Callithrix jacchus: one gene and its partners. The protein of the gene in region 3 interacts with the protein of the main gene of each other region in a biochemical or structural test. Links are inferred from orthologs where the notes say so. Each region holds a gene or a part of one and is shown on either strand. Other genes may lie near its edges.

Region 1 (3,655 bases), on a different chromosome or scaffold from region 3:
ATATAAAGAATTGAATAGGATGACTCTCCCAACCCCACTATCATGTTCAACTTGGACCTTCTATGAATCAGCAAAATGTTCTTTGCCTTGCCAAACAGACTACAACAGCCCAGACAGGGAGAAGCTACTTGTTCTACTTTAGACAATATATAATCCTAGCATGCCAGGTGCTCTCCTGTGAGCACAGATGGATGCTGGCTGGGGTTTGGCAATAACTATGACAATAAATGCTTATAAAGCACTTAGTATGTATCAAGCTCAATCTACAATATTTAATCCCCCCAACAATCCTAAGAGGGAAATGCCACTATTATTCCATTTTCACAGATGAGGAACTTGAGACAAAGATAAACTTGTTCACAGTAAGAGAAAGGGCGGATCCAGGATCTGAACCTAGGGAGTCTGACGGCAGAGCCTGTCCCCATAACTATAAGGTATATCTAGGAAGCTCTGACAGAAGGCACAAAGTCAAGGTCCATGAAGAGAGTTACCTGCTGGATTCCAGTAAGCTCTTTACTCAACTCTTCCAGCTGGTCAGCTATCTTCTCCACAGACTTCTCCCAATGTTTCAACTTCTTTAGTTCAGCTTCTTCCTCTGGACTGTTCTAAAATGTTTAAGAAGAAAATAAAGTCAACAGTCAACAAGAACAGGTGAGACTTTGTGTGCAGATCATTTGAGGTCAGGAATTCGAGACCAGCCTGGCCAACATGGTGAAACACCATCTCCACTAAAAAATACAAAAATTAGCTGGACGTGGTGGTGTGCACCTGTAGTCCCAGCTACTTGGGAGGCGGAGGCAGGAGAACGGCTTGAACCTGGGAGGTGGAAGTTGTAGTGAGCCAAGATCACGAACCTCCACTCCAGCCTGGGCAATAGAGCAAGATTCTGTCTCAAAAAGAGAAAAAAGAAAGAAAGAAAAAAAAAAAAGAAAAGAAAAAGAAAAAGCAATCAACAAGAATACTAGCCTCTGTCAGGAAAAATATCTGACCACAACTGCATGAAACCACTCACCTAGAAAGAATGGTTTGAACTCTGTTGCTTCTTGGAAAGCAAGTCAAAGGGTAATAGATCAAGTTTTCCATCTACAAAGACTCCAAGAGAGAAGGTATTAGGTAAACATTCTGGTGAGGGCCCTGACAGCTTGGGTGCTGAGAATGGAGACAATCCAAATGCCAGATTTAGTCTCAGTCCTAGTCTGATCAACAACCGGGACTGAAGCCTGGAGAGCAAACACATTTCAGTGAACACTTGTGAGGAGTCCAGAATGGCAAGACAGGCAGAATTCTACTATTCCTTTAAATGGAATTCCTAAACGGCAGGCTCCAATTGAGCTCTCCTCTTTAATATGATGTTGGTTAACAATGATGAATACTTTTACTGAATACTCCCTACATGACACACACTATCCTAAGCATATTACCATACTACTTTTTTTAAGCCTTACCACAACCCTATCAGGGAGGTACTGCTGTTTTACAGATGGTGAAACTGAGGCTTAATGCAGTAAAGATGGTATCACACAGTCCAAAAGAGGTAGAGTAGACTTAAGTTTAGACTTTTTTTTTTTTTTGAGATAGGGTCTTAGTCTGGTACCCAGGTTGGAGTGCAGTGGCTATTTAAAGGCATGATCATAGCTCACTGCAGCCTCAAAGCCCTGGACTCAGGTGACCCTCCTGTCTCAGACTCCCGAGTTGCTGGACCATAGACATGTGCCATGGTGCCCTCCCTGAGTTCACACTTCACTCCATACCCTCTTTGTCAGTTCCAAGTAAAAGTCCTATAGTTTCTTCAAACTTGACCCTTCAGTTCTGCCTATTGCCCATCACCATTCTTCCTGACCCTAAAACAAGAAATTTAAAATATTTCCCCCTTCTCTCACGCGAACAATTGGTAGCTAGGTCTAGCAGCTGTCTGTTTAGTTACAGTATCCCAAATTATTCTTTCCTCATTGTAGCTAAGTCCTGAGTTCCAGTCTCCTGGCAGTTCTAAGTCTAGATTTTCTTTGTTTTCACTTTACTAATCTCTGCCCTCTCTCTACTCAGTTATCTCACTCAAAATAAGGGAACTTCATATGCTCAATAATTCTGCTATGTCACAATGTGCCAGCCCTCTCTCATCACCTTAAGGGTTGCTGACTTCATCTGTAACCAACTGACTCTTTTTTTCCCCTCAGTTCTTTAATCTGAACCTCTCTTTCCAGTCAAAGGTTTTTCCTTGTGGGAGATTTTAGTTAAAAGGTTGGTTAAAGGGAAAGAGGCTCCTGAATTGTCACAGAGTAATTATTCTTAATATCTACAAGTTTATTTTAACAAAAGGTATCTTGCAAATTCTACTCCAAGCGAATGAGGCCTCTCCCAGGCACCATTTTAACCAGTCCGAGATTCCACCACCAAAACAAAAAACATATTTAAGGCAGCACAATTGCTCCTAATTTCTAGAGCAAAAGGTCTAACCAACAGGAGCAGGAGGGTATGAGAACAAAATTGGTAATCCTATAAAAGAAATAAAGGTTGTATTTGTTTAGAGAGGTGTTTTATCAATGCAGAATCTGGGTCCCAAATTTGGTCTTCTAAACAGAAACATGTATAAAAGACTTTAGTCATTTGATTCTGAGGATTTCTGATGGAAAAAGCAATTTACCTTTTTCCCAATTAACATGACCCGGCAACCGTCTTGTATTCCAAGTGCTGACAGTGGTGTCTCCATTTCCTTCAGAGATTTTCCTAAAAAAAAAGAGAAAGGTAGGCCAAGTTGTAATAATTGTACAACACTAAAAATAAACTTCAGCAAGAACACAGGAAATAGACGTGTGTTCACTAATAAAAATTGGTATCTTTTTAGAAGGTATCTTGACCCAGTAATTTCAGCTCTAGATATTTATCCTAAACAAATAATTGGACATGCATCTGTACAGTAACTACTATACAATAATATTCCATGCAACCTTTTCACAAGAAACTAGAAAGAGCCAAATATTCAGGAACCAGGGGCTGATGAACCACGCTACAGAAGCCTTTGGCGGTAGCTCACACCTGTAATCCCAGCACTTTGGGAGGCTGAGGTGGGCAGATCACCTGAGGTCAGGAGTTCAAGAATAGCCTAGCCAACATGGCAAAACCCCATCTCTACTAAAAATACAAAAATTAGCCAGGTGTGGTGCCATGCACCTATAGTCCCAGCTAATTGGGAGGCTGAGGACCTGGGAGGTGGAGGTTGCAATGAGCCGAGATCGCACCACTGCACTCCAGCCTGGATAACAGAACAAGACTCCATCTCAAAAAAACAAAAAGCAAAAAACAAAAAAGACTTTGTAGGCATTAAAGCTCATTTTTTGCAGGAAACTTCAAGGCCACAATGAATGCTGATGACACAGTGTTATTATAAGGGGTTTTATCCATGGGAACATTTTCTTCCTCATGCTTTTCTCTATTTTGAAACACGAATTTCTATTGTCAATTCAGAAACAAAATATTTTTAAAAATTAAAGACAATAAGTTACACTATGAAATATAAGTAAAAATGCCTCCTATTACTAAATTCTTTATAATGACTGATATCCAATGGGATAAGTCTTTCCCCAGTGGATACCAGAATAATGGATTCTTGGCCAGGTGTGGTGGCTCACGCCTGTAATCCCAGCACTTCGGGAGGCCG
Region 2 (3,755 bases), on a different chromosome or scaffold from region 3:
CCTCAGCCTCCCGAGTAGCTGGGACTACAGGCACACGCCACCATGCCCAGCTAATTTTTGTATTTTTAGTAGAGACGGGGTTTCACCATGTTGACCAGGATGGTCTTGATCTCTTGACCTCGTGATCCACCCGCCTCGGCCTCCCAAAGTGCTGGGATTATAGGCGTGAGCCACTGCCTCCAGCCCGAGAATTCTCTTCTTGAGTTGATCATGTCCCATCATCAAAATCCAAGCAATCACAGCACAGAGGTCAGTGACCCAATAACTTGGTGGCCAGGAGGGCACAAAGGTAATCAAGTATTTTAGCCTGCATGCTTCACGGTTTCACAAAACATTCACTTCCACCTTCTGAACAGACACACTGCCTCTTATGAGGACTCTCCTGACATCAGTACTCTCCCTGCTATCGGTACTAGCTGGGTGACCTTCAAAAATCACACCTGAACTCTCCAGGTTTTTTCAGAAAATAAAGAAGCCTACCTAAAAGATCTTCAAGGACCTTTCAACTTTAACATTTTCACTGTGAAATTTTCAAATAAACCTTTCCAGCATCAGACTTCTGATTTAGTAGTTCTTACTTTCTATTTGTTGAGAAGAATAATGGTAACTAAACCTGCTTTTTTCCTTTTAAGGTTTAGGAAACCACAGCCTAACCCAGGCACCAGGTGGGTACAGGAAGATCTCAACTTGCTGGGTAAGTTTCATGCTGAGAACAAAGTACTGACAATGTTTACATTCAAACTTAATCTTCACTCATAACAAAGGCTGCCAGCAAATGCTACTGTCCCTATGTCTACAGGAAGAAGCCCTCAAAATAATAGTTGTAAACCACACTAAAGATCATGTACATCCACGCAGACTGCTAAGAAAGGGGGTTTGAAATGAGCGTCAGTTTCACCCAAAAATGGGTTGGACACCCAAAAAGGTATATTTAACTGTGCCCATCCCAGCTAATTACAGCCTCTTATATTAATTTTCAAGAATAAATATACAATTAATCTCTCGTAAATGTAAACTGCTGACTGTACACCATCTCACTGTTGGGAACCAGAGTTTTGTCAATATTGTTAAAACAGAACGTGTATAAAAATGAAGGGAAATAATATGGGTCTTTCTTCTAAAATCATGAGATACAAAGCATTTTTAATTTGCTGAGTTTTTAAATCTTCAAAATAATTTATCACCTCTTTTGCTGCTTCTATCTTGCCCAGACAGCAGTCACAATTACGTTTTAAGTATAACATAATTATTTTTAAAACCTTTTTATTTTGAAAGCTCAAATTTACAGAAAATGGAAAGAATAGTATAAGTATGATTTTTGAAAATTAACAGACTCATTCCAAACTTATGTTTTCAAATTTCATGCTCTTGGGGATTAAAAAGTATATATCCTTGCATATATGTAAATGAGACATACTTCTGCTATATTCACAAGAGTATCATTACTCAGTTATTTGTGTACTGGTAACAAATCCTAAGTATTTTAATACCATAACAAGGCAGGAAGCGAATGCCATTATAAACATACACATTATCGTTCTCTTTCTCTCCAGGGTGAGGCAATGTGGTAATGCAATGGCCAACTGTAAGACAGTCTCCCGTCTAGTTTAGAAACTGCTGGGGAGAAATGCACCCCGTTTTTAATTTTACAAGTGATAATAGGATACATACAGATCCAAAGCACTTTCAAACAATAATACAATTTTAATTTGACACACACACACACACACAGGCATAAATGTTTTGACACCAGCTTCCTGAGTCATTGGGTGCCTCAGATGGGACAGTAGTGAAGACATCCCTCAACCAAGTTAGGGAACTTGAGAGGTAAAAATCCCCCAAAACCACCATCCAAGCTTGTGTCTCCCTCGCGTTCGTGGACAGCGGGGTGCGCCGCGGGTCCCGGGCCCGGAGGCCAAGCGGGCAGCAGGGACTGCGGCCTCCGGAGCCGACCAAGCCGGCTGCCCTCCTCCAAGCTCGGGAGGGCTAGGCCAGCGCCGGACACCCGGCCCTCCGTCCTGGAGTCGAGCCGCGGACGGCACAGGGGCCACTGCGGGGACGGTTCCCGGGCCACCGGATCCCGGGGCCTCCTTTGGCCCGGACGCCTGTCAAGGGCGGGTCGGGAGCAGGGACTCGTCCGGGAGCCGCGGGAATGTGTGGCTGGGCGCGGAGCCGGTGTCCGCCTGAGAGGGGCCTTCGCCGACCCCCGGGCCCCGCTTCTCGCGTCCCACCCGCCCGGCCCCCTTCCCGCCGCCCGCCGTCGAGGTGGCGCCATCGACCAGGGCGGGCCGCGGGCCCGGCTCACCTTGGGGCCCTCGGGGGGCACGCGCGGGTCGTTCCACGTCGTGGTGCGGCTGTTGTGGTCCACGAAGAAGGGCCAGCCGGTCTGCGGGTCGATCTTGATCTCCCAGCCGGGGGGCAGGGGGTCGCGGTCACCGTTGCCGGACGCCACCTGCATCATGGGCGAGTGGGTGGCGGCGCTCATGCTGGGTAGGGGTTGGGGTCGGCCCGGAGCGGGGGCCGCCGGGGCGCGGGTGCGGAACGCGGGCTCCGGGCGCCGAGTCTCTGGCCTGGCCGCCGCCGCGGGCCCCTCTCCGCCGCCGACGTGTCCGGGAAGCCGGCGCCGGGCACCTTTATGAATTAAAGGCGGGGGTGACGTGGCCTGAGAGGGGTGGAAGTGTCTGGAAATAGCCTCCTCGCTGCTAGAGGAGAAGGAGGAGATAAAGGGAGGTAGCAACTGGCCGGCTAGAAACTTCTAGTCCCGTCCAGAGAAGTTGGCCGCGGCCCGGGGTTGGATGCGGAGCTCCGCCCTGAGTCATCGGCTATAATCGCGGCGGGCGGGGGCGGGGCCTCGGCCCTCTCGTTCGTCCCCGACCTCCCCGCCCTCCCCCGCCTCCCTCCGCCCCTCCCCGAGCCTCCTAGTGCGCGTGCCCCGGCCGGAGTGGCCGCGGGCGCGCCTTCGGGGCCTGACTGCGGATGGGACGCCGGACGCACTGAGTTGGGGTCGTCCTCCGTGCGCCCTGGGCGGGTTTCGGCTTTCACACTCCCTCCCTCCCTCTCCTTAGCGCCTAGTGAGTTTTCCCTGGGCCGGAGCCGGTCCTCCCCGTGCCTGCCGCCCCTCCTTTCTGTACAAACAAAGCCATCTCACCCACCCCATCCCCTCCCCCATATATGACAGCCCGGGACACTGAGGGCTGCCTGGGAGGAGCGCGGGGACGCTCATCTGACACTAGCAGGAAGGCAGGGAGAAAATGGAAGTCAGTGCAAACTCACTTGCCTTTCTTTGGAAACTTCAAGGAAAAAAAGATTGTGTCAGCTGATGGTTTTTAGTCTCCCAGACTAAAAAGAAAGTTTCGTTGTAGTAAACAGCTTTACAGAAAAATCACATTCTCTTGGGTTTGGATCTTTTTTATAGTAGAGGTTGGTTCTTGCTATCCTACATCTTGACCCTCATTTGGGAAGTAAAGACCTAACCTAACCGTGACATTTTTTCGCTTGGTTCATTGAATGGAGGTTGCACTTGTAACCTGCCAAAGGAGAAAATGACAACATTTTTAATTTAAAGATCTTTTTGTTTGTTTTTATTTGTTAACTTTTATTGTTAGTTTAAAGATCTTAACTGATTTTGTGATTCTAGAATTGGGCAACACCTCCATTAAATTAGAATAAGTGTTCCTAAAAGCCGAGCAGAAGAGGTTGGTTTTATAGACAGAGAAGGGCTGAAGAAAACAGAAACAAAGAACCAAGGCTGAATT
Region 3 (2,355 bases):
TCCTCTCATTTCCAGTGCACCACAGCTGCCCAGTTCACCCCCAAATGCAAGCCAGATTCTGTCTGCCCCACGTCCCAAGCTTGTACTTGGCATCACCTGAAGCCACACTGCTTTGTAGGCACCAAACTCGCCCTCTCCTACTCCAGGAAAAGCCCAGCCCCGGGCCTCACAGAGCCAGGGGAAGGGATCTCTTCACACCACACTTAGAAATCGTATGGGCCTCCAGTCCCAGCTACCCAGGAGCCAAGGCAGGAGGATCCACGGAGCTCGGGAGCTGGAGGTTGCAGTGAGCTATGATCACACCAGCTTTCTAGCCTGGGTGACACAGCAAGACCCAACTCTTAAAAAAAATCATACAGGAAATGACTAATGAACTCGACTCCATGAAACTGAAACTTACATGGAAAAATTAGTCCAAAGCTTGAAAGTATCGATTGAGGAAGAAAAAAATATTTGCAACACAAATGAGAGACCAAGAGCTCACTTACCTTTATTAGAGAGAACATAAACTCAATAAGAAATAGAAAACCCAAAAGGCAAACAGGTTAAGGGCATGGGCAGCAATTGAATTACAAAGAAACAGACCCTTAAACATCAATGCTTGACCTCACCAGACAGCAAGGAAACAGACCTGAAGACTTGAAGACAGCAGTAAAATGTCACTTACCACCCTCGGATTGGCAGAGATTAACCGGCCAGCAACTCCTTCTTGAATACCTACTAAGTGTCAGGCACTGTCACTGGACACACAGACAAGAATCTTTGTGGGGTTTTTTTGCATGTTTGTTTTTGTTTTTGAGACACAGTCTTGCTCTGTCACCCAGGCTGGATTGCAATGACACCATGGTCTCAGCTCACGGCAACCTCTGCCTCCCAGGTTCGAGCGATTCTCCTGTCTGCCTCAGCTTCCCGAGTAACTGGGACTACAGGCACGTGCCACCACACCTGGCTAATTTTTACCATGTTAGCCAGGCTGGTCTCGAACTCTTGACTTCAGATGATCCTCCCGTCTCGGCCTCCCAAAGTGTTGGGATTACAAGTGTGAGCCACTGTGCCTGGCCGAATCTCTACTTCTAGGAGCTCACAGGAGGAGTTGACAATAAGCACCCAAGCACAATAGTAGAGCAGCCAGCTGGACCACCCAGTGGGGGACCTGGGGGCTTGGCCTCGGGCTGCTACATTTAACTGAGGCTGGGAGGCTTGCACCCTGCACCAGGAGGTACAATATGAGACTGAAAACTGAGGGCACTAGGTGCAAGGACCTTGCACGTGCAAAGGCCCTGTTGTAGGATCAAGCCACTGTGTGGGAGGGACAGGAAAGCCTGGCGTGGCTGAAGCCTTGAAGGAGGGGAGGAAGCATGGCCCTGTTCGCACAGAATTGCAAGTGTGGGTCCCCACTGAAGCTCCTGGCAGTTTTAAGCAGGATTATTACATGTAATCATCTTTACAAATCACTTTGCTGAATGGAGGATGGATTAACAAGGGGGTAGTTGGAAGTTGGGGCTACCCCTTGGAGGGCATTTTGGCCTTATCTACCCAAGTTTCAAATGCACATACCCTCTGACCCAGCAGGTCCACTTAAGTATTCGTTCCTAACTATTTATAAAGGGGCCCAGGGATACAGAACAAGGATGTTGATTCTAAGAACAAGCATCTCTTAGAATATGGCCCCAAACAGGAAGCAACCCGAACCTCTATCAGGAGGGAAGTCATAAAATTCCTGCATGTACAACAATACGGTACTCTGCAGCCTGTCAGAGGCAGGCAGTGCTAACTGCGCTGGTCTGGAATGTTCTCCAAGATATAATAAATGCATTTTTTTGAAAGCAGCTTGCAGTGCAGTGTGTATTGAGTTACCATGTGTGTAAAAGACACTGTAGAGTTCCACGTGTATGCACAGGGAAAATATTCCACAGGACACCCACAGACGTGGCAGACACTGGTCTCCTCTTGCAGGGAGAGCTGAGGGCTAGCATAGAGGAGGGAACCGTTTATTCTGATCGCACACCTTCCTCTCTGCACCCTGAGTTGTGTGCGTGCCTCATGATGGAGGGAGGTAGGCTGGGAAGGGCCTCTGTCCTGAGTCCTACAGGTGCCTCTTGGCCTTGGTCTCCAGAGGTAATGGGGTGTACCCCTCTGTCTGCATTCCTATGTGGGTGTCTGACTCCATGGAGGACAGGTCCTGGGGAAGGGCTGGGTCCCCTAACAATCCTGTCCATCTGACTCCATGCTCCTGGCTGAACCAGAACCTCCCTGGCTGTCTTTGGCATAAAGGCACAGAGTCCCAGCCGAGGTGGGTGGACCACGAGGTCAGGAGTTCCAGACCAGCCTGGCCAACATGGTGAAACACCACAT

The links.
Region 1: the proteins of LRRK1 (region 3) and BAG1 form a complex in vitro, tested with the Homo sapiens proteins (2 studies listed by BioGRID and IntAct, with this or other methods). The link is inferred for Callithrix jacchus from reciprocal best matches to the Homo sapiens genes LRRK1 and BAG1.
Region 2: the proteins of LRRK1 (region 3) and BAG3 form a complex in vitro, tested with the Homo sapiens proteins (2 studies listed by BioGRID and IntAct, with this or other methods). The link is inferred for Callithrix jacchus from reciprocal best matches to the Homo sapiens genes LRRK1 and BAG3.

Annotation. Positions count from the first base shown.
Region 1 is NC_133502.1:140,450,012-140,453,666, forward strand, and holds part of BAG1 (BAG family molecular chaperone regulator 1), read right to left. Parts: intron 2,725-3,655; coding exon 2,642-2,724; intron 606-2,641; coding exon 492-605; intron 1-491. UniProt on the Homo sapiens protein: Co-chaperone for HSP70 and HSC70 chaperone proteins. Acts as a nucleotide-exchange factor (NEF) promoting the release of ADP from the HSP70 and HSC70 proteins thereby triggering client/substrate protein release.
Region 2 is NC_133513.1:113,172,172-113,175,926, forward strand, and holds the start of BAG3 (BAG family molecular chaperone regulator 3), read right to left. Parts: upstream 2,800-3,755; 5' UTR 2,486-2,799; coding exon 2,306-2,485; intron 2,234-2,305; exon of another isoform or gene 1-2,233. UniProt on the Homo sapiens protein: Co-chaperone and adapter protein that connects different classes of molecular chaperones including heat shock proteins 70 (HSP70s), e.g. HSPA1A/HSP70 or HSPA8/HSC70, and small heat shock proteins (sHSPs), e.g. HSPB8.
Region 3 is NC_133507.1:8,917,025-8,919,379, reverse strand, and holds the end of LRRK1 (leucine-rich repeat serine/threonine-protein kinase 1), read left to right. Parts: intron 1-15; coding exon of another isoform or gene 16-100; exon of another isoform or gene 101-305; intron 306-614; coding exon 615-1,077; 3' UTR 1,078-1,829; downstream 1,830-2,355.